Arabidopsis thaliana: one gene and its partners. The protein of the gene in region 1 interacts with the protein of each later gene in a pairwise test. Each region holds a gene or a part of one and is shown in the gene's direction. Other genes may lie near its edges.

Evidence for each region.
Region 2: the proteins of SCAR2 (region 1) and RAC2 interact in a two-hybrid assay, tested with the Arabidopsis thaliana proteins (one study listed by BioGRID).
Region 3: the proteins of SCAR2 (region 1) and ARAC9 interact in a two-hybrid assay, tested with the Arabidopsis thaliana proteins (one study listed by BioGRID).
Region 4: the proteins of SCAR2 (region 1) and ABI4 interact in a two-hybrid assay, tested with the Arabidopsis thaliana proteins (one study listed by BioGRID).

What each region holds. Positions count from the first base shown.
Region 1 is NC_003071.7:16,091,882-16,102,577, forward strand, and holds SCAR2 (SCAR homolog 2), read left to right. Parts: upstream 1-3,353; 5' UTR 3,354-3,668; coding exon 3,669-3,823; intron 3,824-4,001; coding exon 4,002-4,165; intron 4,166-4,248; coding exon 4,249-4,372; intron 4,373-4,460; coding exon 4,461-4,590; intron 4,591-4,775; coding exon 4,776-4,837; intron 4,838-4,959; coding exon 4,960-8,275; intron 8,276-8,355; coding exon 8,356-8,442; intron 8,443-8,532; coding exon 8,533-8,640; intron 8,641-8,916; coding exon 8,917-8,970; 3' UTR 8,971-9,340; downstream 9,341-10,696. Other genes in the region: AT2G38420 (Pentatricopeptide repeat (PPR) superfamily protein), read left to right, coding at 1-573; AT2G38430 (uncharacterized protein), read right to left, coding at 1,069-1,164, 1,246-1,515, 1,610-1,717, 1,885-1,965, 2,050-2,206, 2,292-2,460, 2,629-2,929; AT2G38450 (Sel1 repeat protein), read left to right, coding at 10,135-10,443, 10,602-10,671.
Region 2 is NC_003076.8:18,639,661-18,647,563, forward strand, and holds RAC2 (RAC-like 2), read left to right. Parts: upstream 1-3,879; 5' UTR 3,880-4,100; coding exon 4,101-4,199; intron 4,200-4,520; coding exon 4,521-4,608; intron 4,609-4,693; coding exon 4,694-4,803; intron 4,804-4,923; coding exon 4,924-4,987; intron 4,988-5,575; coding exon 5,576-5,640; intron 5,641-5,718; coding exon 5,719-5,784; intron 5,785-5,984; coding exon 5,985-6,098; 3' UTR 6,099-6,316; downstream 6,317-7,903. Other genes in the region: AT5G45960 (GDSL-like Lipase/Acylhydrolase superfamily protein), read right to left, coding at 148-278, 365-659. UniProt on the Arabidopsis thaliana protein: Inactive GDP-bound Rho GTPases reside in the cytosol, are found in a complex with Rho GDP-dissociation inhibitors (Rho GDIs), and are released from the GDI protein in order to translocate to membranes upon activation.
Region 3 is NC_003071.7:18,425,485-18,432,297, forward strand, and holds ARAC9 (RAC-like 9), read left to right. Parts: upstream 1-3,636; 5' UTR 3,637-3,791; coding exon 3,792-3,926; intron 3,927-4,011; coding exon 4,012-4,099; intron 4,100-4,344; coding exon 4,345-4,454; intron 4,455-4,554; coding exon 4,555-4,618; intron 4,619-4,723; coding exon 4,724-4,788; intron 4,789-4,883; coding exon 4,884-4,949; intron 4,950-5,050; coding exon 5,051-5,152; 3' UTR 5,153-5,398; downstream 5,399-6,813. Other genes in the region: AT2G44670 (senescence-associated family protein (DUF581)), read left to right, coding at 18-189; CKB4 (casein kinase II beta subunit 4), read right to left, coding at 1,414-1,547, 1,716-1,881, 1,952-2,061, 2,147-2,365, 2,460-2,682; AT2G44700 (Galactose oxidase/kelch repeat superfamily protein), read left to right, coding at 5,531-6,637. UniProt on the Arabidopsis thaliana protein: Inactive GDP-bound Rho GTPases reside in the cytosol, are found in a complex with Rho GDP-dissociation inhibitors (Rho GDIs), and are released from the GDI protein in order to translocate to membranes upon activation.
Region 4 is NC_003071.7:16,794,546-16,801,167, reverse strand, and holds ABI4 (Integrase-type DNA-binding superfamily protein), read left to right. Parts: upstream 1-3,582; coding exon 3,583-4,569; 3' UTR 4,570-4,921; downstream 4,922-6,622.

The sequences.
Region 1 (10,696 bases):
GGAGGAAGGGGGAAAGAAGTTGTAAGTGTACTGAATCAGATGAAATGTGACAGAGTAGAGCCTGATCTTGTTTGTTATACAATCGTGTTGCAAGGCGTTATTGCGGATGAGGATTACCCGAAAGCAGACAAGTTGTTTGATGAGTTGCTCTTGTTAGGTTTGGCTCCTGATGTTTATACCTATAATGTGTATATCAATGGGTTATGCAAGCAGAACGATATTGAAGGCGCCTTAAAGATGATGTCTTCAATGAACAAGCTAGGTTCTGAGCCTAATGTAGTTACATACAATATATTGATCAAGGCATTGGTAAAAGCTGGAGATCTGAGTCGAGCTAAGACTCTATGGAAAGAGATGGAGACGAATGGAGTTAACCGGAACAGCCACACATTTGATATTATGATTAGTGCATATATTGAGGTAGACGAGGTTGTTTGTGCTCATGGTTTATTGGAAGAAGCATTTAACATGAACGTGTTCGTTAAGAGTTCGAGAATTGAGGAAGTCATTAGCAGATTATGTGAGAAAGGTTTGATGGATCAAGCAGTCGAACTTTTAGCACACCTGGTTTAAGCAATGTGGAGCATCTCTAAATAGTTGTAAAATTGATGTATTTGGTCTTATTGATGATTGTTAGAACTTAATAGAAGAGTGATTAGTTTGCTTGGCAAGACTTTCGAAGTAGCTTGGTTCTGTTTGTTCAACGTTAATTGCACCAATTGTTCCACTGCTATCACTGAAACTTACCTTTAACCTTAATGTATACAAAGTTGACACATCCATCAAACTTGACTGTGATAATTGGGAATCTTTCAGTGTATTGTGTACTGCTTGGATTCCGATTATAGCTTTTAGGTAAAAGAAAATTTCAGTATGCAATGAGTCATTCATACACCATGTTCACATAAATGAAAGGACTGGTAACAAAACTTAACTTCTGTTTTTCTTGACACACACAAGTACAATCCTTGATAACCTTAAAACAACATTATTGTACCAAAACACAGTAGAAAGTAAAAGAAATTAAAAAGAAACTTGATAGAACAAGCAACATCATATGGTTCTTCATCATGTAAGATAGGCATCGCAATGCAAGAAGTCCCATATAGTTCCAAGAGCATCTCGTAGCATCTCCAAAACACAACCCCTCTCAGTGTTCTGCTCCTGCAGACCACAAGTATTATCACCATAAGCCTCGCACTTCCATTAGAGTTTCTAAAATAGTACAAGAGCACAATAATTTACCTGTATTTTAGTGTCGATGTCTTTAAGCGTCAAACTCACCTCCCTCTTGGTTTCCCCTGTTCCAGTCGTCTCATTGAATCTATCAGTCTCTCTTACCCTAAGCCTTAGAGTTTTATTTTTGTAGATAGTAGCTCTAACGTGACAAACTTCAAATTCTTTGTATCCATCTTCAGATAAAGCTTTACCAAACGGCCACCTTAAACCGCCTTTTACATTTGGATCAACAGTTGCTGATTCCAATAGCGCTTTAATGTCACCTATCTCTTTATCCTGCCGATCAAAGAAAGATCACACAACCTAAGTCTAAGAAGAGCATATTATTTATCCATATATTGTAAAATATATATACCAAACTTGAACTTACACTGAGATACGTTATTTCCCTCTTAGCGGTGAGCGTTAGTCTCATGTCGAGATTCTTATCAATGCATGACACATCAACAACCAAATGCCTTACAGGATTAAGGTCGACCTATATAAAAGCAAAACTCAAGATTCAAAGTTAGATATTAAAGGAAGACCAAGTAAAAATGTGACATCTATCAAATTCTTGTTTGTTTTTCTTGCTAGTCCGAGAACAATAAAGAAGAGATTTTACTATTGGTTGTAGTCACTACACACATAAAACTCGAGACTTGCCTTGTACATACTGAGCCGTCCATCTTCCTTACGGGTACATTTACAGTTGATGGTTGCATTAGGACGAGAATAATGCGATACCTAAAAATAGAAGCCAAACCCAAATTAGCACATTCAAATGACATTCGAAGTATAGATCTAAATCTAAGAAAATGAAACGAGTACCTTCACAGTGTATGTTTCCTTCTCCTTATCAATAGAGAATCCATGGCTTGGTACAACATTAGATTTTATGTGTTGTAAGTAAGACATTGGGAGATCAGTAGAGAACATCTTATTCAAGTTTTTTAGTGAACATTCAGCCACAGGACCAGCTTGACTCCTGGTTTAAAGTTGTATATGTTAGAAAAAATATAAACCCATTCCTGAAAACAGCAAAATGTGAGATCAGACGGTGAATCGCTTACCCATAGAAGAAAATTTTACCAAACCGAGCAACCAGTCTCGATACATGATGATGCTCCTTCATTTCAGTCTTAACTCGCTCATATGCCAACACAAGATCCTCCATAACCTTCTCAGCTACTAATAGCCACTGAGTTCTCTCATCCTTCCTCTCTCCAATATTCATATTCACTGAATATAAACATATAAAAAACCATACTCAACATAGATACAATGCATCTTCTTTTGGCAAAAACGATAATAGCACAAACAAAATAGTTAATAGTATTGTTTATTTCAGCATCTAGATGATATTCATTTTGTCAAACACATAGCCAAAGTCTACTAATAGTTTCTTACCATTTTGGACATTGTTGTTCATCAGTATTGAAGGCTTTTCTCCTTTTCTACACTCGACAGAATCTGAGGACAAGGGCACAAACTTAACATACGAAGGAACATCGTCCTCAATTCCATTTGAACCAACAAGAAACCATTTGGAAATGGAATCTCCTGAATAGATAATCTTGTTGCGTTTAACACTGCTAGTGCTACTCTTAAAGTCAAGGTTCTTCTTGAATTTTGTAACAAGAGAATCTGGAACAGGGGTAGGCTTTGTCGGATCCTTCGAATGCCTCTTATGTGGTGGAATATAAGACATGTCTAAACCTGAAACTCACAACAACATCAACCAAAAACGATTTCAAGATAAAACAAAAAAATCTCAAACTTGGAGCTCAAATAAGAATTGCTTTACAACGAGCGAAGAAGAATATAAAGACAGAAACTTTAAGGTGAGAAGAGAGAAGTCGAATCATACCTGTAGGCTGTAGTCGAAACTCAACGTCTTTTAATATTCCTGCAGAGAAGTAACAGTGACACTCAAATAGACTCTTCGCTCCCTTTTTAATCTTTCAATTAACTCTCATCCGTTTCTCAAAAATGACTTTAATTAGATTGTGTTTGGTTTCGATAGGGATCACAATTGGACAAACCTCAAGCCTGAAACTATCAGGTTCCCGAGGGGTTTGGTCTTAAATGCAGGTTTTATTGCAACAAGGTTTTGGTTTTGTAAGAATTTTTCACTAAAAGTAACAATTTTTTAAGTATTTCTGGCTATCGAAAAATAGAAAAAGAAATGTTTTCTTAAAAAGTCTTTTAGCGTTGAGGTTCTCAGACTCTCTCTCTCTCTCTTTGCCCCTACCTATATCCGCCGTCTTGAATCCACAGAAAGTCCGTTTTAGTTTCCAGCTAAGTGATGTCGTCACATATCTAATGGTGGTCGGTCACTACTTAAATGAAGACAGAGAAGCTTTTCTAGTCTTCTTCTTTCTAAAGTTCTTACCTTTAGAATTTGAACAAAAGTATCAGCGAGCTGATCAGACAGAGAAGCTCAAACAATGCCGTTGACGAGGTACCAATCTCGTAACGAGTATGGATTAGCAGATCCGGATCTGTATCAAGCTGCTGATAAAGATGACCCTGAAGCTCTGCTTGAAGGAGTCGCTATGGCTGGTCTCGTTGGCATTTTGCGTCAACTCGGTGATCTCGCTGAGTAAGTTTCTCTCCAATCGAAATTTCTCTAATTGATCTCTAAGCGCATCGAATTCGAAGTTTTGGAATCCGTTGTTGTAAAGCGACAATTTTGATGAATCTGGATTTGGTTGTGGAAGTGGAAAAAGTTTTGATTTTTTGATGGAATTGTCTTTAAATTCATGTAATTTGTGATGAAGGTTTGCTGCTGAGATGTTTCATGACTTGCACGAAGAAGTAATGGCTACTGCTTCTAGAAGCCATGGTTTAATGGCTCGTGTGCAACAGTTGGAAGCAGAGTTTCCTTCTATAGAGAAGGCATTACTGTGTCAAACCGATCATTCGCCGTTTTTCTCTAACAAAGGTTAGATTGCTATGAACATTCATGATCTGGTCAGCTACTATGATGTTGGATTATTTCAACATGATTCTGTGACTCTATTTCAGGTGTGGAATGGCATCCGAATCTACAATTGGAACAGAGTGTGGTTACAAGTGGTGACTTACCTCGTTGTGTGATGGATTCTTATGAGGAATGTCGAGGTCCTCCAAGGCTATTTCTTCTGGACAAGTATGATTTAGCCTTGTTTGATAGGACTTCTTCTTTAGTCGTTTGTTAGAGAAGGATATATGTAACATCTTCTGATGGTTTTGATTAGGTTTGATATTTCCGGAGCTGGGGCTTGTTTGAAACGCTACACCGATCCATCGTTTGTTAGGCTTGAAACGTCTTCATATGAAGAATCATGGGATGATATTCAGAGAGAGAAAAAATCACAGAAAGCAAAGGTACTAGCTTCTTAGTTCAGGTTGTAGCTTATGGGTTGCAGTGTGATCCTTCTTGGTTATATTTTGGTTTCCATTACATGGTAGATTTTCTGAATAGTAGATTTTCTTATGCTCATGGTGTTTTGAATGTGTAATCTTACCTTCCATTTTGTGATTCTCATAGTTTTCCTTCTATTCTCTTGTAGAGGAGAGCATCTCAGTGGAGGAATGGAGGGACACCTGAAAATGCATTATCATCACATGCCAAGTGAGTATTATCTATTTTATGTCTTGTGTGTTTGTCATTTCTGTTATGATATATATGTAGTTCCTATATTGGTATCTGACTGTGACTAAAAATGGCTGGTTTCAATTATTCAACTGGCACAGATTGCATGAATTGTTTTTGGAGGAGCATTTAGAGGCTCATCATTCAGATCCAGCGCGCGTTGTGAAGTTGAAAACCAGAAAGCTAGATGGGTGTTCCCTTATTTCAAAATCAGGGGAAAGCTACATGGAGAAATTTGTGCAGACACGTGTAGATAGTAAGATAAGTTATGAAATAATTACCCAAAACCCCGGATTGTTGACATGGAATATGGATAGTGCTAGAGATGTAGTAACCGATATACCTGAAATCAGTATGGTGGGTGCTATGGATAAGTCTCATGGAGGAAGCAGAGCAGAGGTTTCATTCCCAAGTGAGCAGGAAAATGTGGCAAATGTTAACATGAATGGGGGTTTTATTGAAAAAGATATAGAGACAGTGCCTGAATCTACATACAATGAGGTCCGTGGAACAACTATTACACAGGATTCACAAACGGTTTTGAACGGGAAGCCAGGATTTTTTCAACAGAGGAGTTATTCTGAAGATTTAACCAGTGAGGCTGACAATTATGTGGACGCACCAGCCACCATGGAGTCGGAAACAGAAACAGACGATGAGTGTAGACCTAAGAGTAGATCAGATACTTTGAAGGATGGGAACCATCATATATATTCTGATGCGGTTGAAGAGAGAATGGAGGACCCACCTCAGTTTTCATTTTCTCATTCAAATGGAAACACACCAGTTTCGGAAAATGGGCGAAGCTCGTTTGGGAAAAAGAGCACTAGTTATTCTTACTCGGACACTGCAAGCATATCCATTGATGATCAATCTGATGGAGAGAAACTTTCGGGATGTTTACCTTCTACTTCTAGTTTTAAGAGTGAGTTGGTGGATTCTATGTCTCACGTTACTCCTGAAGCCAACAAAGTGTCTCATGACTTGAATGTTCAGGAATCAGTTAGTAGCAGCAATGTAGATGGCCAGACATCATTAAGTTCGAATGGTACATGTTCAAGTCCAAGGCCAGTCTCTCAGAATGATCAATCATGTTCACTGACAGTTCAATCTTTAGCATCAGAAGTCGTTGAAACTTCTCCAGAACTTGTTAGGCTTGATCTAATGAAGGGAGGCAATGATGGAAGAAAGGTGGATCCATTCGATTCTTCAAAATCTTGTGCATCTTTTGATGCTAAAAACTCTGACTTGCCTTCTGAAACTTCATCAATTAGTTCAACTTCTGAAGGAAGCAGATGTGATAGTACCATTGAGAAGAACTGTATGGTTGCTTCAAATTTAGTAAACTCAGGCACTAGTCCTCAAGCGTTTGTTGATAGTCAAACTGGTAAACAGTTACCTATCGCTGATACTGATTTTGAGACAAACTCTATAGTTGCTTGTTCTGAAGTTTTAGCAAACTCAGGCAGCGATCCTGAAGAACGTGATGGTCGTTGCCTAACAGGAAAGCTGGTACCTTGCTCAGCTGGGGTGGGGATGGAAGTTTCCCCTGATACGCCCTCTAAAGTCTGTGGTCCAAGTTCAGCTGATGGAATTCACTTAAAAGATACTCTGGATGATGAAACCGATTGTGTTTCAGTGACTAATGTTGTTGTTGACGTTGATTCTAAAAATTCTGTTGCCGACGTTGGTTCTCAAAGTTCAGTTGCTGACATTGATTCTCAAAGTTCAGTTGCTGAGATCTCCGATGAGCATTCATGTGCCTTTGGCAACACGGCTGATGTGTCTGTTTCAGAGTCCCATGAAGACACACTAGAGAATGGAATGTCCGTGCCTTCTGATTTTAACTCGGGAGTAGAGAAATTGGCGGGAGATGCTTCACCTACTTGTAGCAAATGCGATGACCATATCTCTCATGAAGGTTTTCATGACCTTTCAGGGCTGGACAACGCAACCACAGACATTGTCCCGAACGTTGAGCTTGATGTGTCTGATAATGACAATGACACTTCCAGTGGTGGTGTTAATCATGCCGTTAGTCTGTCATCGACTCGTGGGAAGGGTTCTCTGCCTTGGATTTCGACCAATACTTATCAATCGTCTTCTGATGCTGGAGAGATTTTCCATGATACAGTTGTAGAGTCTGACGGGACACTACTGGAAGACAATAATCCAGAGTCGGAAATAAAAATGCATAAAAGCCCTCTGGAAGTGTCTTCAGAAGGTCTGAGTACTGAACCAGACAACAAGGACGTAGAAAGTATTGAATCTACAAGTCCCAAGCCATCTCTGGATCAAAGGAACAGGGACACAGAAACCAAATCTCCTGGTGAGAGCATTCTTGATGATAATTGCATAGATTCCACACAAGTGTATAATCTGAACCTTTTAGAGAGTGAGGCTATCGACCAGGCAGTTAGAGAGCAAACATCTTATGCAAGCCATGAAGTTGCAGATGAGGAATTGCTGCAGTCAAATGTTTTCAGGGGCTTAGAGTTTGAACCACAATCAGCAGGCTTAGAATTTGCACCACAATCTGCAGGTATAGAATTGAACAGACCTAAGCAAGAGTTGAATCTGGATCCTACTTTTCCTAGCTTTGGTTTTATCCCTGAGACTATTCCGCCCAATCCAGAGGACATGCCACCCCTTCCTCCTATGCAATGGCTTATTGGAAAGGTTCCACATTCTTTTCCTACCTTCATGGGGGAATCAGTCGAAACCAGTAGTTCTGCTTTATCAGCGGCACCACCCATTGGTTCTAGCTTGAATGTTCAAATTGGGTCTCCACCATCAGAGCTATCTGTATCTTTAGGAAGTGACGAATCAGAACGACTTCCTGGAGGGTTTGTTCACAATGCATCAGAAAAGCCATTGCAATCATCCATTCAGTTCCCAACCATGAGCACTGATTTGAATAGTCAATACGACAGTTCTGAGCTCCCTACAATACCTTATCAGGAGTGCATAGAGGATTTTGGTTCTGAGGAGAACAATCTTTTGGCTGACCATGCAGCTCAGAACCACGAGCTCGTTTACTCTCAAGCGTCGTCATTGCAGCTGCCTCAGGTTAAACACGAAGATTTCAAGGACGATGCTGATGTGCATGAATCTCAAAGTTCAAGCGATGATCACCATTGTCCTGAAACCAAATCCCTGACGCCAACTCAATCAACAAAGGTAGAAGATAAGGGTCATTCGGTTCCTGATGCTTCAAATGCAGAAACTGCAGAATCATCAAACACGTCAGTTCAGAAGATAAATCCTGTTTCAGTGGGAGATGCTATGTGGCCTGTTAGCTGTTTCTCTGTGGCACCTACCTTGGACACATATAAGACAGAAGTGGTCCCTACGGTTAGGCTTCCTAGGCCAAGAAGTCCGCTTGTCGATGCTGTTGCAGCTCATGACAGACGCAAGGTACAAAATTTCATCTTGTCTGCAATACCATGCCTTTGCTAAGATTATGTCTCTAATCACTTGTTCTGATGATTTGCCAGATGAAGAAAGTCTCTGAGATGGTCCATCCACCAATCAAATCAAAGCAAGATGACAAAGATTCGTTGCTTGCACAAATACGAAACAAGGTAGCACATGTTGATCATGTAAAATCCCAGATGGTCCTGTGAACAGAATTTTGTATTTGGAATTTTATGAGTTGTGTTTTGTTTATGCAGTCCGTCAATCTAAAGCCGGCAGTAACAACACGACCCAGCATCCAGACTGGTCCTAGAACAGACTTAAGGGTAGCTGCAATCTTAGAGAAAGCAAATACAATACGCATGGTTCGTTACTCTCTTTCCATCTCCTTCAAAGATAGTAAATGTTTTCAAGTTTTTTCACCTTTTTCTGTGGTCCTTGCTAATCGTAGAGGCTTCATGTCAAAGCATTTCAATTTGACATGAAAATCTGAGGAGTTTAGTCTCACATTATGTCTTAGATTGGATCCGAAGCAGTCTCTTAAGTGGAAACAATGAATTATAAGCCTGATCATAGACCAAATAAAATATCACTTTTTCTCTATCGCACACACATCTAAAACCGGTTGAACACTGGTGCAGGCAATGGCTGGAAGCGACGAGGATGAAGATTCAGATAGTTGGAGTGATTCTTGAAATCGATGATCGTTGGCTTTTCCGTGGTGTTCGTTCTTGTATCATGATGAGTGCGCAAGCACTTGGAGTCAGGTAGGTTATACAATCTCTATTTCAGACATATAACATTAAATACATACAGTCATTGGTTATTTATATATGTATGTATGTATATTGTGTACTGTTTTATAGGTGTGTGTATGTTGTAATGTAAGTAGATTCCGAAATTTGCAGTAGTTTTACGGAAATTTGTGTGTAGGAATGTTTCGTTCTTTTTTTTAGCTCATAGAACATTCTTTTAGTAGGCTATGTATGTGTATTTGAATACATACATAGATATGTATTGTGTGTTCTCAATCATTTGCAGTGTCCTTTGACTGTATATTTGGTCATTTGGATAACGAATATCTATGAGAATCAGCTAGTTAGTGCACTGCACACACTTCAAAGGTAATATTTGGTTTCTAGAGGACTGAAATGATATGATGGTTTGCTTGCTTAGTACCAATAGGATGATCTTCACAAAAATCATTTGCAGGCATAACTGAGTTTCAATTTGAACCCAAATAGAGTAGTTGGATCGAGAAGGAGGATTGGAAGTATGGCAATCCTCAATCCTCATATGTAAATCAGTTGGAAGCCTACTTAATACTTGATCTCTATTCTCGGCTGGCACCACCTGTATCCTGTCTGAATACTTGATTATCGGGATCAGACCACATCGTCCGCGCAAAATACCACCCGGAACAGCACCACCATAAGCAACAGCCTCGACCGGGTTCACACCTGAGACGTTAGGGCTAAAAGAAACTATATGAGAGTGAAAAATCCTGAGATATCATTCTTGATTACCGTTATAGTGTCTGAACTCAAAACCTTAGACGAACTCATGCTACTAAAAAAAACAAGGAGACGAGAGCGAAAGAATGCAATTGTGAAGAATTTATGATGGCCTTTATATAGACAGAGCTCTTTATTCAGTAACCGTTATGAAATAGCAAGGAGCTAGTCTTAATTTCTAGTGGGCTAGGGAAAAAAATAAAAAAATTCTAGTGGGCTTAAGAGCTAGGCCCATAAGATATTTTAATATTATTTTATACAATGAGACCAAACCAAAACCAAACAAGAGATTGAGAAGAAAACCGATTTTTTCCTTTTATTTATTTTTATGTTTATAAATTAAAAATGGGAAAATCGATTCCCGTCAAAACAGGGCTAAGAGGAGCTTCCGCAGCAGTAGCTGGATTCATCAAATCCTCAAAACCGATCCGACCCATTTCCTCCATGGACAGTTCCGACAAAGATTCATCATCCACCACCACCACCAGCGAAACTACACGACGTTTCGTTCCGCTTTCATCGGTGGTTTCTGATTGTGCGAAGCGGTGGTTTAAAGACACTCTTGAGGAAGCTAAAGCTGGGAACATCACTATGCAGGTTTTGTTAGGTCAGATGTATTACTCTGGGTATGGAGTCCCTAAGGATGCTAGAAAGGTTTCGTCTTTATTCCCTCCCTTTCAATCTCTTCTTTTCCAAGTTTTAGGTTTTTTTAGTTTGGTTGATTTGAAAATTCTCTAATTTGATTAGATTGATTTGCAAGTTTCTTCTTTTTTAGGTTTTTGAATTTGATTCTGTGTTTTATTAATGATTAGGGGAGACTTTGGATTACGAAAGCATCAAGAGTTCGTTCTTCAGTGTGGAAAGTGATAGATAAACGACCAGGTCTTTGTTTTATTACATGTCAAAA
Region 2 (7,903 bases), on another chromosome or scaffold:
GCATAAATATTTGGAAGTCCCATTAGCAGTAATATAGTTATAGTAATAATAAAATAACGATCCAGATGCATAGATATAGTTTTTTCTACGTTCTTGTTTATGCAAAAATTTAAAAACAGAGAAAAGAGATTGAGATCGGACACTAACAGTTATGGTTGGAGTGAGAGGATCATATCCAGAGCCAGCTGAAGCAAAGCTAACTCCACTTATTAACTCATTTATTCCAAGATTTGGGTCCAAATACGGTGGCACATTCTCCTTCACACCAATGTATGAAGCTGTACATAAATATATATATGATGTTTAGGTTATTAGGTTCAATATATATAGTGAATATATTTCAGTTGTATATATGAACACTAACCGATAAAATCTGTGACGAGTCGACCGTTGCAAAATCTACCGGTCGGAGTTTTGTTTCTGAAATCGAGTCCATAGGGCGGAAAATTACACTTGAATACTGTGTCAATGTAGTTGTTATTGCCCGGATCCACTGTTGAATCTCCGAACACGAGAATAGCTGAAACTGAATGTTTTCTTTTAGGTTCAGACTTTGCGGGTTCGAGTTTTGATGTTGAGGATGAGAAGGAGATGAAGAACAGGAATAGGAAGAGGATGAAGGAAACATATGAAGAAAAATGTCTGTGATGACTTCTCATTGTTGTGAAAGTTTGGAGTGGAGACAAATGAGTAGTCTGGTTGGTACCTTCAAGTGTATTAGCACATTATATACTAAGATATACAGTCATAATTAATAGGGGTTGTCTATTTCAGTTTAATTGATCGAACTCAATCAAAAGTTCATTAAAAAAAGCTGAAGTAATAGTGATTAAAAAAAACTCGACAAAGAAAATGGAATTAGATTTTTTATGCTAGAAAGAATTAGTGCTTTCCAAATTGAACCGATTAAAAACATTAACGTTAGTATTATTTAAGAAAGAATGAAACAGGATAGCTTTTTAATTTATTAGATTTTATTAATAGATAAAAAAACATAACTTCCGTCATATTAAAAAAAAAATGATGTCTAACGACAATCATGAAATGTACAAATTAATTTGTTTCAGAAAAATTTAAATCCAAAACTAATGCATCTGAACCCAAAATTATATATGCAAACACACAAAATATGTTCTATACTTACATATTTCAAAGGTGGAAAAACGAATTCAATAATCGAAGCTCAACATGAACTAGTCACATTTTTAATAAATATGATACACAAAGTACATAGTACAAATGTATAATTTAATTTTGGAAGATGTAGGCTCCCATTGGTGATATAAAGTTGTACAAATGTTTTAGCTTTTATTGGTAATTTTTAACCAAATAGTACAAAGTTGTATAAAACAATGGTACATGAAAGCTGTAAAAAAATATTGAGGATAACGTTTTTAATAATAAAAAAATTGATATCGTTTTTGTAATTTGGTTAATGTCAAAACCGTACATTCCTTATTAAAACTCTACGAAGTTACCATTCAAATCCGTAGTATTCTCTTTTATTGAACCGAGATTTTCACGAAACAAACACTAATTAATCTGCAGGAAACATTAACTTCCATCTCAAATTATTTAGGTAATGCTTTAAATGTTGTGATGCTGTATATTGTGGGTATTCATTAAATTTATGACTACATATATCTTTTTTTTTTTGTTTAAATAATTTATTTCGAGCTAACTATATATTAACGCTACTACATGACTTTATACCTAAAAATGGATCAAGTGATTTGATTATTTCATCAAGGAATCAGGCAAACAATCTTTTACAGGTATTAGGTACACATTTAATAGTGACATGGATAGCTCATAACTAGTATACGTACGGTGTTAAGATACATCTTATTTTTTCTTGTGACGCAAAATAAAACCTTTGAATAGTTAGATTCCTTGTTCGTTCGACTTTTTTTCTTTTTCTTTCATTAACATACATATAACTAAAACTATACATAATAATCATTTCACTCTACATATAATGCGGATAAACTACTTAGTTTATTTTATTATATAGCATTTTTTTTGTCAACCTGTTTTATTCGATTATACAATGGAACCAGTAATAGGGATAAAAAAAGATTTGTTGAGAGATCAAGCTAGAGTCTCGTCACTCTGATCTTATAATCAGCTAGCTCAGTGAATGGTTCAACTCTAATTTTCCTTTTGTTAATCTGATCTATCAAGGAGAAGTCGATGATTGCTCTTACAAGTTACATCTCAAGATGAGATACTTGAGGCTTATTGGGCTCTTCTTCTTTGGATACTTCTAGGTTCAAGTTGAGGCTTTTAGTGGGCTTATTTTGATAAGTTTTTATCTATTATCGACCTGAATTAGCAAACTAGTCAGTTTTCAGAACATATTTAGAAAATTAGTCATTTTACTAGTCACAATTTATAAAAAAGTCACTTTTCACTGTTTGATTTGTACATTTAGATTTGTACAATACTTTTAGTATACATATGTATATAGATATACACAGCGTACACTTACATCTGTATACTAAAAGTGTTGTACAAATTTAAATGTACAAATCAAACAGTGAAAAGTGACTACTTTGCAAATTGTGAATAGTAAAATAACTAGTTTTCTAAATATGTTTGAAAAATTGACTATTTTTTCATTTATCCCATTTTAAAATGTATGAACAGTACAATATTATTAATATTATGCTCTATTTTAAATCAATGGAAAATTTTATATAAAAAATGCATAATGAGGAAGAGACACACAAATTCAATTGTTAGGAAAGAAAGACTTTCACTACATTAGTGCTCCTAAACTTTTGCTCTACGCAGTATAACCTCTAATTTACTGGTAACTTATATTTGAAGTGATTTACGTATGATACTACTTGAAGCACCAAACTGTACTTCTATAAACTCAGGTAACAGTAGCTACGTTATTATAATAATAATAAAAAATGTTATAATAAGGTTTTAAAGAAAGTAAATATCAACATTATATATGGGGACATACATTGATTCAGTTTTTGATAAATAGTGTAATTTGTATTTGAGTTAAAAAATTTGCCTTTATTTATATATTCCCCTCGAAGAAAAACTTTATTTACGTCCCAAAAAAGTATTTTTGGATTCGCCATGAATGTTTGATCATTCATATTTCAGAAAGTATTATAAATCATCGTATATCTGCATGAGAGTTTCATGCATAATACTCTTTAAAAGAAAATTGTTGGATAACGTAAAACAAAAGTGTTGGATGACGTCAAAAAAACTGTGAGGTGACGAAGAAGACAGATGGAAATTGTATTTTTGAACACACTAAAAAAATCGTAATATGTAAGCCAATTCATGTCATTATTGAATGTTGTTAAAATGAATCAAATAAGGCAAAACATAAAATATTGAAGAAAAAGATTTTATAAGAAAATGTAAAAACACTAGAGAAAGTAAGATGAGAGTTCCTTCTCCAACACTTAAAAACCCACTCACAACCAACACCAAACGGCTACATCACTTTCGGTGACCGCATGATCTTGCACTTGAAGTTAAAGAAATACTCAATTCCTAATCATTTTAACTCATTAATTTAATTAAACTAAAAATATCAAACCAATATATGAAAGGCAAAAGGTGAACAATATTTCAGCTTTTTGGTAAAATTTGTTTCGATTCTGCTAAATATCATTTTGCTTTGGACCTGGTTAGAAAAGTCAGATCAAATTTGGAAAGAAATACAAATTAGTGAGTACATGTAATAATAAAATTTAACTATTTTCAATACATGATTTTAATATTTGTATTTATTTAAGAAGATTATAATTCAATTGTTTCAGTGAGGAGTTGTTTGGTTTACTCGGTTTATTATATATGATGATATACAAAACCAGTTCTTTAATTTGGTATTTGTTTCAGTATGTTTGCTTCAAATTTCCTTCCCTTACGAATAAGCAACTAATAATGATCAATGAAAGTTGTAACAGAGACATCCTCCTTACCAATAAACAACTATAATCATCACAAAAGCTTCTTAAGAACCTTCCACCACTTCTCTTCTCTTCTGAACATAAAACCCAAACACATTCACAAAATTCATAAACATAAAAAAATAAAAGAAATTGAAGACAAAAGCAAAGAAAATGAGCACAGCAAGATTCATTAAGTGTGTGACTGTCGGAGATGGAGCAGTGGGAAAGACTTGTATGCTCATTTCATATACCAGCAATACGTTTCCTACGGTAACTTTTAATTTCTTAGCAAACTTGATATATATCCAGATATATTTTCAAATTGATGTTTTAAGATATTTATGTTAGGCTCCTGAGATCTTTGCTCATTTTAAACGTTGTTCATGGCAAATTAATAAGAGCCTAGTTTCATCTTTTGCGTTTATATTTCCATATCCGTTTAAGCATATTTTTCCTAGAATCATTAACGTGAAATATATCTAAAGCTGAATTCAAACCCATGCTTCTGGATTTTTGCTATCTGTTTACTTAAGAAACATGGTTTAATGTATGTTTTTTGATATATAAATGATTTAACTATCTAATTTACAGGATTATGTTCCAACAGTTTTCGACAACTTCAGCGCAAATGTGGTGGTCGACGGGAGTACCGTGAACCTTGGCCTGTGGGATACTGCCGGTACGCCGTATGATTACTTGATTATACTAAAACTGATTATTAATGAATGCTAGTTACGATAAAAGTTATTATTGTGGAATTACAGGTCAGGAAGATTATAATAGGCTTAGGCCTTTGAGTTACAGAGGAGCAGATGTCTTCTTATTAGCATTTTCCCTTATAAGCAAGGCCAGTTACGAGAATATTCACAAAAAGGTAACTTTAAAAGTTTTTCCATCCGTTTTTTTTTATAGATAAGAAACTATGATTATATGATAAAGTATTTCTAGAAAAATTTGTTGACACTGACTGATTAATTAATCTGGTGATTAATAGTGGCTTCCGGAGCTGAAACATTATGCTCCTGGCATCCCCATTGTGCTCGTCGGAACAAAATTAGGTAACGAAAACTTTCCCCTTATGAGTTCATAAAGAAACTTAATTTATCAACATTTGTGTCAAATTAGATATGGTCTTGAGTAATAATCCGCAGATCATACGTTTTTCATTTGCAAAAGAAAGAAAAAAATTCTACAAGAAGCTACTTTTTCGTCAAATAGTAATACACTCTCTTTCACTCTGAATAATATTGAGATATCACTAAATAATATGTTATTTAGAAAATAACACCTATAGTAAATGTATTTTGAAAAATTACCTAATTAATTCAGGCCAGTAAATTATATTATTTGTTCTGTTATGCTACAGTTTTAATGAAAAACATGTGAAAAAAGAATAACATTTTCAAATTCGATAGTTGTATAAAAACAGTTAGATTTTCATCTAATAGCAGAAAAATGTTCAAATGTAGGAAGATATAGCCACTTGGATCGTTAATGGCATCATGAATAGTGGCCCAATTTAACATTTATTCAACAACTTATATTGAAAAAGCTAATACATTTCTCCATTTGATTTATGGTATCTCTTGTGTTATTGATAATATCTTTTTATTCAAAACAATAATGTTACACAAAAATGAATATAGATTTGAGGGATGACAAGCAGTTCTTGAAGGATCATCCAGGAGCAGCTTCTATAACAACTGCTCAGGTACCATACACAAATCTTTAAAAAATAATCTATACAAAAATAAATTCATAAACAATTATGAATGGATTTGAGTAACAGGGAGAAGAATTAAGGAAAATGATTGGAGCTGTTAGGTACTTAGAGTGCAGCTCCAAAACCCAACAGGTACTTAGAGTAAATTCAACATGTATTTAGGTACTTAGAGTGCAGCTCCAAATGTTTTTTTGCCAAAATTTTCATACTAATAATTTGAATCCACAAATATATATATATATATATATATATATATATATAGTAAATTGAAATACTTAATGAAGTTAAATTAAATAAACTGAAAAAGTTTTTTGTTTGTGAATGTTTAATAGAATGTGAAGGCAGTGTTTGATACAGCGATAAGGGTAGCTTTGAGGCCACCAAAGGCAAAGAAAAAGATAAAACCATTGAAGACTAAGAGATCAAGAATATGCTTTTTCCTATAATATCTGAACAGATTTCAATAAATAACAAACATTTATATATACTTGTATTTTGATATTTTTTTGAATATTTTCTACTTGAAATAGTGGACTTTGCTTCATCACGTTATTGGCGAGAGTATTGTCGAATCATGTTACCATTATTCGGGAGAAATTTGTAAAATAGTAGTAATTTGGCAAGAAAATTGAGGATTGATATTTTTTCCCCATAAATTGTGGAATCACGCTTTTTGGTGACAATTTGCGAATTCTAGTTTTTAGCAAAAAAAATTAAAGAGTAATGTTTTTTGATGAAAAAATTATGGATACAAGTTTGAATCAATAATATGAGATTTTCGTCTTTGAAAAATAAAATTTCAAGTTTAAAATTTTGGCTAAAAAAATGTGGATTCAATTTATTGATAAGAAAATTGTATTAATCCTCACTTGAAACTCCTTACACTCTTTCTACATGAGTAAGACATAAACAAATGTGACGTTCATGCTCCAGTTCTTATATATGTCCAATGTATAACCTGAGCAAAATATACTTATGCACTTATAATACCTTAATTACCCGTCTTACTTTGAGGCTGGATCTTGTCCTTTAAGTAATCTATCTTCTGGGAAAAATAGAACTCAAGGGCTCTTACGTTCAATGTTAAAAAATGGTACCATTTCCTTGCAAAAACTCAGCTGTTTCAGAAAAGATTTCAAAAGCTAGCATACCTATACCATAACACACAAAGTTTTATACATTGGGGTAGTCCACAATAAGAACTGAGAGAACGTTGTTTGCTAGATAGGAGGCTCTTTCATTGAAGAGTATGATGGTTCAGTACCATCTTCATCATATACTCTACAATTAAAGAAAACCAAAGCCACACACAAAAAAAAAATCAAATGCAAATATAGAAATACTATTACGAGTTCTAATTCTCCAACAAACTGAGACATAGTCGTACATTCTTGTTAACAACTTAACAAATAATTGTTTATAAAAGATTGTGTAGAAAGACAACCATGATGGAAGGGATCATAAACTTATAAAGACCGCCAACCTTAAAGCAAGCTTGTCAAGAAAAGTCTATCTGTTAACGAGATACGATTTTGAAAGCAACCAGACCTCACAACTTTAACTGGATAGTTGTAGGATAAAGCAAAGAAGACTCACAAAATGAAGAGTTAGAGAGCTAGAACAATACAATAGATAATGTATCATGCGATAGGATGAGATAGGGAGGCGCCACACATTGCTTCATAGGAAGTCGATCATCATCAACCCTGTAATTGCAGAAAAACATTCAAGGTTACATAATTGCAGAAAGGCTTCATTAACGATGCATCCATCATAGATTGTTCTTTCATAAGATACCACGTTGATATGAACAATCACCAGTCAATACATAATAATTATATAGGTCTAACTCGTCGTTAACATTTTTGTTGTAGTTAGTTATAAAAGTTATTAAAAGACGACTGCGATGGTTTGATGGATTAGTATCAAGAAAATAAAATGTGTCCAATCTGATAATCATTAAAGCGGCGGGGATTGGACAAAAAAAAAAGGTAGTGTGTAGCAATGGTAAAAGTGACAAAATTAGAAACCGTAAGTCAAAAAGAAAACAAAATATTTGTCTCCCTATGTAACAAGCCCACTCTACGAACAGCTCATTGCATATCAACATGAACCATTTAAGCTTAAAATATTTACATTCATTTTTGTTTAATCATTCATTGTATGTGTTCAGTTTTGTTTCAGATTAAATCTATATGCAAGGCGTTCATACTTGAGAAAAAAGATGACAAAATTTTATCAAACAAGAAAG
Region 3 (6,813 bases), 2.3 Mb from region 1:
GTTTTTGTGATTTACAGAGGAGACAAGGCTTTTTGTAGCAACGAGTGTAGAGAAGAACAGATTGAATCTGATGAAGCTAAGGAGAGAAAGTGGAAAAAATCTTCAAGATCTCTCCGGAAAAATTCTTCTGAAACTAAAGAATCCGCCGCCGGAAACACCGTACGGACAGGAACTCTCGTCGTGGCTTAGTAGAAGCTTCAGTTACATAATCAAGCAAATAGTCTTTTTTTCTTCTATATAAATACCTTTTTGTCTAAAATCTATAAACCCTCCTAAAACCACTTATATCTCCAAAGCCTCTAAAAGATTTGCTCTGTTTCTATTGATCTTTCTATGGATCGGAGATAACTAGTTTTCTAATTCCGGTTGTCGGAATCTGAGAAATTGTAGATCTGGTTTATGTAAATGAATGTGGAGTTTTGGGGGCAGAGAGAAAGAAAGATGCTAATAATTTTGGCTGTGTGATGTGATGGTTTTGTAATCTGGGGTTGAAATTTTGTTCGATGTTCCATAATAAACAGAGCATAACAACTATGTTCTTAATAAATATAAATTCAATTTCTGTATCTGCGTGTGATCGTAATGGTGTCTTAGAAATCGACAAAATTTATTCAAACTGGTGGTGTTAAGATTTGTTGGCTTTTATAGTTATTCGCATTGAACAAATTAGTCAGTTCGACTGCTCTTGGCGGTATGCATTTTACGGCAGGCAACTAACTAAGAACTCCGGGGAATCTTTTAAATGTGTAACAGTGACAGCTTTTTTGGGCCTTAAATGGGCTTCTCAAGATCCCATATATTAGGTTAAGACATTGACAGTTCCCACTTTCTATGAAGAATTTGATATTCAGAACCAAAAAAGAAAACATCTCTTCCTCTGTATAACTCAATGATTGTAGTCTTCTTGACCTGTAACTTTACCAGAGCTAGACCGAGTTTCAAGTGTTTATATCTTTGTATTACAGAATGTCAAAATCTGGTTTTCATTAGGTTCTTGTTCCATCTATCTTTTGTTTTCAGATTTGTTTTGGTTAATAGTGATTGAAAAATGAAGATTAGTTCCGTACAACACAAGAAACTTAAGATAAGTAGGATACACCCTAAATTTTCAGCAATTATAGACAACAGTTAAGCAAAGCAAAATCCATCCATCTGGTAAATGATTTAATTGATTACTCACAGGTAAAGAATTTCCCAAGACCCATCAAAGAACGGTTCTATGTTGAAGATTCTACTTAGAACTTTTGAGATTACATAGTGAAAAACTTTTAAGTGTCGACCTTTCTTCATTAGCTCTTCTCATCCTCCAAACGCAGTTTAGTATCATCCATTTCAAACCCGTGACCATCAGAAGAATGGTGGTTTAGCCACCGAGATTGTATTCAACCACAAGACTGTTGAGAGGAGAGAGTATCATTGTTTGTTGTGTACCTTAAAGCCAAAGATCTTAGGAACGTAGTTTTGAGCCGGCTTCTGCGGTTTCATGTTCCCATAGGCCATGAGAAACAAATGAGGGAAAGTAGTTCCAAAGTAAGCTCCATCAATGTCTGCAATAAGCATTAAGGAAAGAACACTAAGACAAGTGGACAACACTCTTTATCTTCTAAAAGATTTAATGCAAACAAACTAGCTAATCGCAATGTTTAACCAAACAATAGCAGATGCATCATATTATGACAAGATAAAGCTTTTTTGAACAGAGGAGCAAAGGATACTGCCTTGGTATTTAGATCGCGGGTAGTAAATATCCTCGCATTTTGGGCAGTATATCTTCACAGTGCTCGACCTCGGGATATCAGATTGGCCAACCGGAAGACAAGACTGTCCGCAACAGAAAACTCTGGGGCATCTCCCGAAATCATAATTCTTATACTTCTCCATCTACAAAAGAGAAAGATATCATTCAAAAGATCAATCAGAAACAAAGATGTAGAAGAAGTATCTTGCTTACCATAGCAGCCATTCCTTTAGTAGTGAGAATATAACGAACATGAATAAGACCATATAACATCTCAGCAGCTGATTCCACCATCTCATGCTGTTCTTCAGTAAACATATCACCTAATCCAATAAACATTCCTCCAAATTATACAACAATTCTCAGACAAAGTAAAGCCTAAATTCATCAAATGGACCCTTCACTTACCATTTGATGATTCAACATCTAAAATGAGATCAAGTGCATAATCATAGTAAGGAACTTGACCACTCAAACCACAGAGATTGAAATCATCTTGTATATAATCTTCATCTACTTCACAGAAAAACTCATTCCCTCTCAAATTACAAAACCATGAGATCCAAGAGGTATCATCACCTTCTGAACCACTCACATCTGATCCTTCACTATCCGTGTCAGATTCAACTGCATCCACAAAGAATCAAAATTTATTAATACCCAAATCAGAAAGTACTAAAACCACATGAAATTGAAATTGAGTGAGATATAAGCAATTAACCATCGGGGGAACGAGAATGAAGCTGAGATTTAGCAGTTGAAGTAGAAGGGACAGAATCTTTGTCCTTAGAAGTGAAAACCCTAGATGTAGAAGGTGAAGATTTCTTAAGATGTTTGTCTAAAGCATCATTGATTCGTTTCCGATCAATAGCTCCACCAAGGATCTCCGATCTCGATGATCCACCACCACCCATTATTCCTCCTCCACTCCGATCCTTGTACATAACTCGATTCGATTCCCTCAATGAAAAAAAACAAAATTTTTCAGCTTTAGATTCTCAAAGTCTTCGACTTTCTTATCATCAGAGGAAGAAGAGGGGCGGATAAATCTAGGGTTTGTTTTTTCTTCGATAGTTTGATCACAGAGTAGAAGAAAGAGAGAAGAAGAGATAAAGAGTGCTCTGCTTTTCCCTGTGGTTTTTTCTCATTCTCTACTGTTTTGTTTTCTTCTCTTTGTTTTTTTTTTTTTTTTTAATCATTGTTTAATTTTTTAAAATTCTAGTATTTAGAAATGGGCTTTTCGGATGGGCCTTATGACACTGACAGTTGTAATACAAAGATTCACGTAGAAGGAAACATTTTTTTGTACTTAAACTATGATTCCAAATTATATCTTAGGAAGAAAGAAATCATAAAATTCATTTTTTTTTGTATCAACACGGTAGTAATAATGGACTTGCCTTTCCATCTTTGTTAATGATGATGTGTTTGGTGGTCGATCCATTGTCCAAACTTAAATCGAAAAAAAAAACAAATGATCTAGAGATAATTAAAATTACACATCTTGTAAAATTAGTCATGTAAATGTAACTGAATTTACAAAATTTGATTTGATATAACCACCACTTATTTTCATTTTGCTGAAACATTTGGACCTTTGCATTTGCATTGATTGGTGAAAAAAACAAAGCACTATAATTTGTACAACTTTCATTTCTACCAATTATAATTTTTTTTATCAAAAGCGTTACTAAAAGATTTTTCTCTCAGCTTTTTTATACATTTTTTTTAATATAACTGTTTTTTAGTAATTTTATACTATTTCAAAAAAAGTTAACAGATAAAAGTTATGTACAGCTATGTGTTACCAATTAGAGTTTTTTTGGAAAGAAGTAAAATATGGCAAAATCTATCTAAATTCAAAAAATAGGAAAGAAATCAAACCCACCGAATAAAAAATTATTTTTAAGGCGTTTTGGCTCTCTGACAGCTCAAATTAAAGTTGACTCCTTTTTTACCACTCAAGTCTCATTCTCATTCTTCACTTGAACCAGAATAAAACCACAGAAAGAGAGAGAACAGGGTAAGTAAAATCAGAGAATTTTCTCAATCAATGTCAGCTTCAATGGCTGCAACATCAACATCATCAGCAACAGCTACAACGTTTATAAAGTGTGTCACTGTTGGCGATGGAGCTGTGGGCAAAACTTGTCTTCTTATTTCCTACACCAGCAACACGTTCCCCACTGTATATAAATCCATCTCTCCCTCTCTCTCTTTTGGATTGCTTTTCTTGATAGCTTTTGGTGACTGTTGAGATCTTGTTATTACAGGATTATGTTCCAACAGTGTTCGACAATTTCAATGCTAATGTTTTAGTCGATGGTAAAACTGTCAATCTGGGTCTCTGGGATACTGCTGGTAAATGCTTTTACCTAATGTCAAAGTTGTTCTTGTCTTTAGCTTTATATCTACAACAATATGTCAAGGTCTAATCTTTTGGTCCTTTTAAAAGAAGTCAGTTGAAAAATTTGAATCTTTGATGCAACATTGTTTTGGTTCTTGAATTCACTATCAGATTTTGCTCATGTTTCTTCAAAACTTAAATGAGACCAATTATGATTCTTGTGTTATATATCTTTTGGGTGATTCACATTATATTACAGGTCAAGAAGACTACAATAGGGTTAGACCATTGAGTTACAGAGGAGCAGATGTTTTCATTCTTGCCTTCTCACTTATTAGCAGGCCTAGCTTTGAGAACATTGCTAAAAAGGTTGAGACTTGAGATTATCTTTCCTTTTACTTTTAATTTCACTGTAATTTAACTTTACAACACTGATCTCATGTGCATATGGATCGGTTTTCTTTCGCAGTGGGTACCCGAGCTGAGACATTATGCCCCGACTGTGCCTATTGTTCTTGTGGGAACCAAATCAGGTTGAAGATAATGAACCACTCTGTTATGTCTTGAATGTTAGGAATCTAACATCAATGTGTAAGTGATGTTATGTAGTATATAAGATGAATTTCTTGATATTGCAGATCTAAGAGACAACATGCAGTTCCCAAAGAATTATCCAGGTGCTTGCACAATCTTCCCAGAACAGGTATGTTTTTTTAAAGATTCTTCTTCAATGTATATGATCAAGAACCATGTTAAGAATCAAACTCTTTTATAACTCAAAGATTGCTTCTTTTATAGGGTCAAGAACTAAGAAAGGAAATAGGAGCATTAGCATACATAGAGTGCAGCTCAAAAGCACAAATGGTAAAGTAACCATTAATGCTTGAGTTACATTTTACAATTAGACCAAATATTTTGGACCTCAATCTGATAAAGAAAGACTTATGATGATGCTAAATTTGCAGAACGTAAAAGCCGTGTTTGATGAAGCGATCAAAGTAGTTTTACATCCTCCTTCAAAGACTAAGAAGCGAAAGAGAAAGATCGGTTTATGCCATGTTCTTTGACTAGTGTACTCAAGTCTCTGGCTTTGGTTTGTTTTACATCTTTTTTAGTGTGTTTCTTCTATGAAGGACTCTTGCAGATTTTAGTATGATTAGCTATCTTCGTTATAAAAGTTTGATCTTGTAGTAGAGATTCTTGTAACAGAATTATAAGCGAATTCTCGTCTATCAGTCTATGTAAAAGAACAATGTTTGTCTTCTTTGAGTTCAAGAGACAACAACAAAGAACCGTTTTAGCGCAAAAAGAAACAAAATAAACCGATTGAAACAGAATCGAAGAATAAATAAACCGGGTTTTGTTTTTTGGCTAATAACCGAAACCGAAATAGAATAAATCAATAAAATCTCAATTCTCTAGTCTTCTCCTTTAAACTAGAGTCGATGTCTAGCTCCAACGAACCACCGCGAAAAACCGACCAACCATCGTCGTCATCGGCATCGGCATCGGCATCGCCGTCATTGTTTTTGTCACTGCCACTGGAAATCATTTCGATGATCTTAGCCCGCGTCCCAAAACGATATTACCCAATCCTCTGCTCCGTCTCCAAGAACATGCGGAGTCTTGTTCGCTCGCCTGAAATTCACAAGGCTCGATCTTTACTCGGAAAAGATTATCTCTATATCGGCTTCATCGACGAAAATTATCGCCCCGTATACGACTACTGGTACACTCTCCGGAGAATCGAGAACAGTACGACCGAGAATCTCTTCGAATCCATTGAGTTCCCTTATCCTTCCGAGCCTAATCGATTTTCCATGAACGCCGTTGGTCCAAAGATCTTCTTCATTTCAGAATCTTGTACTCCTTCATCAAGACTTTCGATCTTTGACACCCGATTTGGGGAGTTGCGTCAAGGACCTTGTTTGCTAGTGAAGCGAGGGTACAATTGCGTAGGACTAGTCGGCGGTAAGGTCTATGTGATCGGAGGCTATCAGGACGACGAGATTGCAGCGGAAAGCTTTGATCTAAATACGCAAACTTGGGAAGCAGCGCCGATTCCCGATGAAAAAGAAAGTCACAGGTGGATTTGTAAAGCAAATGTTTCATTTGACAGGAAGGTTTGTGCTTTAAGATCTCGTGAAGGCATGACTTGTTATGACACTAGAGATGGTTCTTGTCAGAGATCTGAGATGCCTAATGATCAATGGTCTAGAGTAGGATTGTGCGTGATTGACAATGTGCTCTTTGTTTACTTCTCTAGATTCGGGTTAATGTGGTATGACTCTAAACTGATGCTGTGGAGAGTGGTTTATGGTTTTGATCTTGACAACGCTCGATCAGTTGGAATCGGGGAATACTACGGAAAGTTGGCGTTTATATGGGAAAAACCAAGTCTTAATGTTAGTGAAAGCAAAGAGATTTGGTGTAGAATGATTGGTTTGCTTAGGAGTGAAGTAGGAATTCATGGAGCTGCAGAACCGTCTCAACTTGTCGAGATTGTCCCTAACGGTTATAGAATGTGTCATTGTCTGTCTCTTTCAGGTTAAAACATGTCTAGTACTACTTTCTTTGGTGTAAAATGATTGTTTTGGATAGGAGTGAAGTAGGAATTCATGTGACTAAAGATGATGATGTTTAATACTTTCGTTAGTCTATATCAATACAATGTGTTACAAGATTATGAATGTGTTGCGGCGTTTACGTCTTCAACTCTCGATTTATT
Region 4 (6,622 bases), 700 kb from region 1:
ACAATCTTAGAATCCGTATAATTGATTCATTAACAAACTAAATAAACATAGCCAACATCAAACAAACTAAGCAAAAAAACAAAGGCTTTGATCGGCAAAGATTCAGATGAAATTTACCCTTTACCTGTAAACAGATACAAATAAATGGTTTTGGTTAGGTTTGTTTAGTTTGTGTATAGTTGCAGAATTCGTTCGAAATATATAGCTAATTTGTTCAGGATTTAAACCTTACACTTAAAATGGACGGATTATAAAAAAGGAATGGACCAGAAAGCCCAATATGAATGCTTCTCCATCGTCTATACTATAGAGGCTTGGTGAGTGATTTGAGTTGAGGTTCTTGAAGCCTATAACGGCTTTATATGTTTTAGGACCTTACTGGTGTTTTTTCTTGGGCATTATTAGCCCAGAGCATTCATTTCACTGTGCGTTTTGGAAAATAGAAATGTTTTGAATCGTTAACAAGTTTTTGGACCTTACTGGTGTTTTTCCTTAGGCATTGGTTGAGAATTTCGTAAAGGTTTTTTGAGAATTCATTTTTTTTTTTATATAGACGCACACATAATCTTAGCTGTTGTTTAAAGTGCAGCCCACGGTTTGTAATCGTGGGCATGTGAATATTTTTATCATCTTGCTCGACAATATTCCTCTGCCGCAACAACCATTTGCTTTTTTTTATATGAAAATATTCAAACATGAACACTTTCTATCTTTCGAAACATATATTTGATCCGTTGCAGAACTTAGTGAGCAAAGCATTGAAATTCTTTGCCTTTTGATATAGTCATCATTTTAACTTAAGCATCTGGAAATCATTTGACTAAAAAAAAAGCCTTCAACAATGTCTCTTTAATGTTATCAAATGTTTGAGTCATTGTTATACAAAATTTCACGTGAATGATTGAGATTGGAATAATCAAGCTATATTGATTGATACTATATAATAAAGTGGATAAATGCAAGAAAATGAATGTATGGCGCAACTAGTTGGGTTCTGCTGAGACATAAAAAGGTGAGAGTTCCAAGGCAATTGGGTTGAGATCTCAGAAACCACAACACAAAAAGCTTTGGTTCTTTTGCTGTCTTTGCTTCTTTCCTCGCCACCTCATCTCTCCCATGCAATATTCCTATTTTTCTCTTCGTTTAATAATTGATAGTTTTGTAGTTGGCAAACAACAAAAGTAAATCCCTTGCAGACGAATCTTTAATTCTATATTAGTAGTATCAATGAAAAGTTTCTAAGTAAACTTGTTATTATGACGATAGTTCTAAGAGTTATGTTTTATAGATTAAAAGGAGTCATGTATATGCTACCATTCATAAGAACAATAGATAATTCAACAAATTCTTATTTTATTTATTTTTACTTTTAGTAAAAGAATATTAAGAAAATTTGTCTCTTAATTTCAATGGTATAAGATCTAAGAAGTCAAGTTTTTATTTCGAAAAAAGTCTAAACGTTAATGGTCTTCCATTTGTTATATTTGTGGGTCAAACATCATAATCTATACGGTAGATTAGTCTTTCTAGGCGACCAAAAAAATAAACTCTCTTCTCTTCTCTCTGTTTTCAAAATTCCTTTTCTTATAAAAAATGTCAGTTATATTTTGTTTTTAATATTTCTTAAAGTCGAAGCATACATAAATGATGACAAAAAAAGAAAGAAGAAGCGTACATAAATATCTACACTATAACTCCTCTTTTTAATATATTTATTTATTTATCCATTGACATGTGAGTATTTTAAATTTCTACATAATTCTTTTTTAAGATTAATAAAAGGTGTAGTATCCAAAATCTAAATCTATCGGACGAAGTATTTGACTGAAGCCAAGTCGTCTTCCAAGAATGGTGTTAAGTGGACTAAATGAACACATATATCTATGTAATGAAAGCAGAAAAATAATTACTGTGTCTCTCTGCATCTGTATTTCTGTCCCTCCAGTGGCTGCAGCAGGCAATGGATCTGCAACACTCTCCGAGTGCGCAAATCAACTTATTTTTCTTCTCCAAAATTTAACAAGTACTACTCCAGAAATATGATTCTAGTTTTTACTTATGTCCAAAAATATGATACGTGTTGTACCAGATGTTTTTCCTCCGATCCCTTAATTATATCTATGTTTACAATTTTATTTTACGTATAAAGATAAAACATCAAAAAAATAGTATCATAAGGTGATTTCCCAACAGCTTAAATTTTTCTCTAAGATCATAATCATCAAGTATAGAAGCTTCGGTTAAGTTCAACACTAAAAGTTAGATTAAAACCAAATTAGGGGCGAATATGGTTAGACCATCTCCAATGGTCACCTCTATAATTTTCTCTATTTTAGAGGTGCCTCTATTTTAGAAGCATTGTGCTCCAATGGTCACCTCTAAAATAGAGTTTCCTCAAAAATAGAAGAAAAATTAGAGATGAATTGTAGAGATCTCTATTTATAGAGACAAAAAGTAAATATTTCTATTTCTTCCTCTATTATAGAGAAAACTCTATTTTAGAGGTGACCATTTGAACATAATGCCTTTAAAATAGAGTCACCTCTATAAATAGAGGAAAATATAAAGATCACTATTAAAAATGCATTTAGATCTTTTACTAGGGTTGTTGGTAATGGTAGATTAATTACCTTGATCCTTTTTAGTATACTTATCTGTTAATGCTTGTTAACCACTTAAATTGCAAGAGAGTTGAACAAAATTGGGTAATTCATGCCACGCTTTGTAATTATTCATTGATTAGTGTTTCATTCTCTACAATTTATGGCTAATCAGCCCCCGTTAGCCGTTATGTAATGATTTATTCTAGTTTCATTGCTTGCCAACTTTAAACGATGCTTTTAATTCTTGAACTCATAAATCATTTTCTTTGTTATCTTTGTCTACTGTTTTATTCACTTGATCTTCTTAATCTTTTAAATTGCCTATCTTTTGCTATGTTTTTGTTACAATTTAAATTGACAAGTACTTAGAAAAACAAACAAAAATGATATCTCTGTTCCATCTTAGATTATTCGTTTCTTATTTCTCTTAATATATATTTTTGAACACGCTTATTTCTCTTATATATGTTGCAATATTCCTAACCTTGGTGAATTTGATTCAGTTCTCTCTGGTTGAATCCTCTGAAATCTGAATGCCTTGGAGTGTTTTCAACATGCGAGTATTTCTCACAATTACCCATCCAATCAAAGAAAAGAACCAACTTCAAGATATTGTTATATATCGCTCATGATTTGCTATAGTTACCCAAAAGAAAGAAAGCAATTAAATGTTTTTATAATATCCTTGATTACATTCCAATGTGTAACAAGTAACTTATGACAACACAAATTTCTTCTTTGGTAGAAAACAAACGGGTAAGTAAAAAGAAAAGAAAAAAAGAAGTGAGTGAGAAGAGAGTGTAAGTATAAATAAAAGAAGCACCGCCCTAATCGACCATTCACAACGATGACATTCAAACACTCTTCAGTTTCCCTTCCTTCTTGATTCGTCCTCTCCACTATTTTTCTCAATTTCTTTAATCTCTCTCTTTCTCTCTCTACTTCCTCTTCCTCTTCTTCTTCTTCTTCTTCTTCATCTATGGACCCTTTAGCTTCCCAACATCAACACAACCATCTGGAAGATAATAACCAAACCCTAACCCATAATAATCCTCAATCCGATTCCACCACCGACTCATCAACTTCCTCCGCTCAACGCAAACGCAAAGGCAAAGGTGGTCCGGACAACTCCAAGTTCCGTTACCGTGGCGTTCGACAAAGAAGCTGGGGCAAATGGGTCGCCGAGATCCGAGAGCCACGTAAGCGCACTCGCAAGTGGCTTGGTACTTTCGCAACCGCCGAAGACGCCGCACGTGCCTACGACCGGGCTGCCGTTTACCTATACGGGTCACGTGCTCAGCTCAACTTAACCCCTTCGTCTCCTTCCTCCGTCTCTTCCTCTTCCTCCTCCGTCTCCGCCGCTTCTTCTCCTTCCACCTCCTCTTCCTCCACTCAAACCCTAAGACCTCTCCTCCCTCGCCCCGCCGCCGCCACCGTAGGAGGAGGAGCCAACTTTGGTCCGTACGGTATCCCTTTTAACAACAACATCTTCCTTAATGGTGGGACCTCTATGTTATGCCCTAGTTATGGTTTTTTCCCTCAACAACAACAACAACAAAATCAGATGGTCCAGATGGGACAATTCCAACACCAACAGTATCAGAATCTTCATTCTAATACTAACAATAACAAGATTTCTGACATCGAGCTCACTGATGTTCCGGTAACTAATTCGACTTCGTTTCATCATGAGGTGGCGTTAGGGCAGGAACAAGGAGGAAGTGGGTGTAATAATAATAGTTCGATGGAGGATTTGAACTCTCTAGCTGGTTCGGTGGGTTCGAGTCTATCAATAACTCATCCACCGCCGTTGGTTGATCCGGTATGTTCTATGGGTCTGGATCCGGGTTATATGGTTGGAGATGGATCTTCGACCATTTGGCCTTTTGGAGGAGAAGAAGAATATAGTCATAATTGGGGGAGTATTTGGGATTTTATTGATCCCATCTTGGGGGAATTCTATTAATTTGTTTTTGTGGAAGATCATATTATATACGATGAGCATCCCTAAGGTCGGTCAAGAGCATTGGAGATTCATTGTTGAGAGGAATCAAAGAGATTGCATTCTATGAGGAGCTCTGCATGCAAAATTTTGGAGGATTTTTTTACTACCTATAGAGATAAATAAGAGGGTATTTTTATTATTTTTTTGAAGATTTTTATTTTCAAGGAATTCGTAAAAGAGATTACGGTTCCAATAAAGTATGTATATGTGGAAGAGAATCGGAGGAGATGGTGGAAAGTTGTATGGGAATTTTATTGGTTCAACACTTCCTTCACAGTGTGCCTACCTTAATATATAATTATTGATAGGATATGATAATTTCTGTTTGGTTGTTCGAGTTTCAGAGGTTATATATAGTTATATTTTGTTTATCTCTGAGAATATTTACACATATCTCTATTAAGTTTTAGTAATATAGGAATCATCAATGTAGAAACTATGGAGAGAAACACGTTTTCAAAAAGTGTTCATCACTGGATGCATAATTGTTGTCGTTGAGAAGATTATTTACATTATTCGAGCTGGGTATTCTCACACCAACACTTCATATTCAAGTTTACAATTTTTTGTATCGATCATCCTTCAAAGTGTTTGGACATGATTTTGTCCGAATCCTAGCTTTCTTTGACTAAAAAGAGTTCTCCGTTTCTGTATTTCCCTTGTCCTGTGATTTCTTGTTTACTATGGTGTTTATTGGAAGTTGACAAGAAAAAATCAATTTTATTTTTTGTTTATGATTATATTTCGAATCTTTTAACAGTATTATACAAAATTTAAATTAAAAATAATCCCATATCTGACTGGGTTATACATGAATATTTCAATATTAATAATTAATTTAATTTATAATAATTATATATACAAAACACAACAAAATAGATTATTATATTTTCATTTGTTATATGAAATCACAACACTTTTCTATATCTTGGTTACGTAATAATTTAAGTGCACAAATATGGGTATGGTGATTCATATACTAGATAGAGATTGACATAAACTTTTCTAGAACCGATTATTTTGGTAATCAAATCATACAATGTTGTTTATGAAAGATCACCAGACAATGTGGAATAAAGCTTAGTTTTATTGTTTTCCTCTATATCTTGGTATTATTGAAATCTGGCAAAGTAGTACCAAACCGAATCCAAAAAAAACAAAATCGAGAAACAAAGAGAGTTACTACGTACACAAAAGAAAACATTCAACCACAACAACACAACGATGAGAGAAAAAAGATCGCTAAACAAAGAAAAAGAAAAAGATACAAGATGTCCATTAGAGTTTTAAGAATATATTATTCTCTTATATTTTTCCCTTAAAAGTATTGTTGTTTCAGTTTTTTGTATAAAACAATTATAAACAATTCTCAGTTTAGAGTCTCAATGTAATAACAAGAAAACATCTGAAGTAAAAAAAACAATTTATAAATAAAGAATTCAAGAGTCAACTTTTATGTATACATATGGTAATACATATATATATATATTTAATTCATACTATGTAAATATGAAAATGATACTTACACTGAAGAAAATGTATAGTCAACATTTAGTTTCCAAAATAATTATCTAACACTATGAATTAATATGATTCACAACAATGAAAATAATGTTAGTCAATATAATCATTAGCATTAAATAATGACAGAACAATTAATTAAATCATCAATTTGGTATATTGACTAGGACCTAAATTTGGACAGAAATTCAGTTATTTCAATTTTCTGTAATAGTACAATTAACCACATAAAGATTTTAACATGTTAATGGTTTGATTTGGATTTTAGTTTTTGTTTACTAGTATTGTTTTTAAAGAATAATCAATGTAAAACCAAATCCAATATAGTTTGGTAAATTTTTAATTAGCTTTGAATTCAGTTCTTAAACTTTTACTTTTTTAGCAAAATAAGTTTCATTTTTAGTCAATTTTCTATGGTATTTATGATATTTGAAAATAACTTTATAACCAAAACATAGGAAAATTCTAGTTTTTGAGTTGATATTTTCAACTT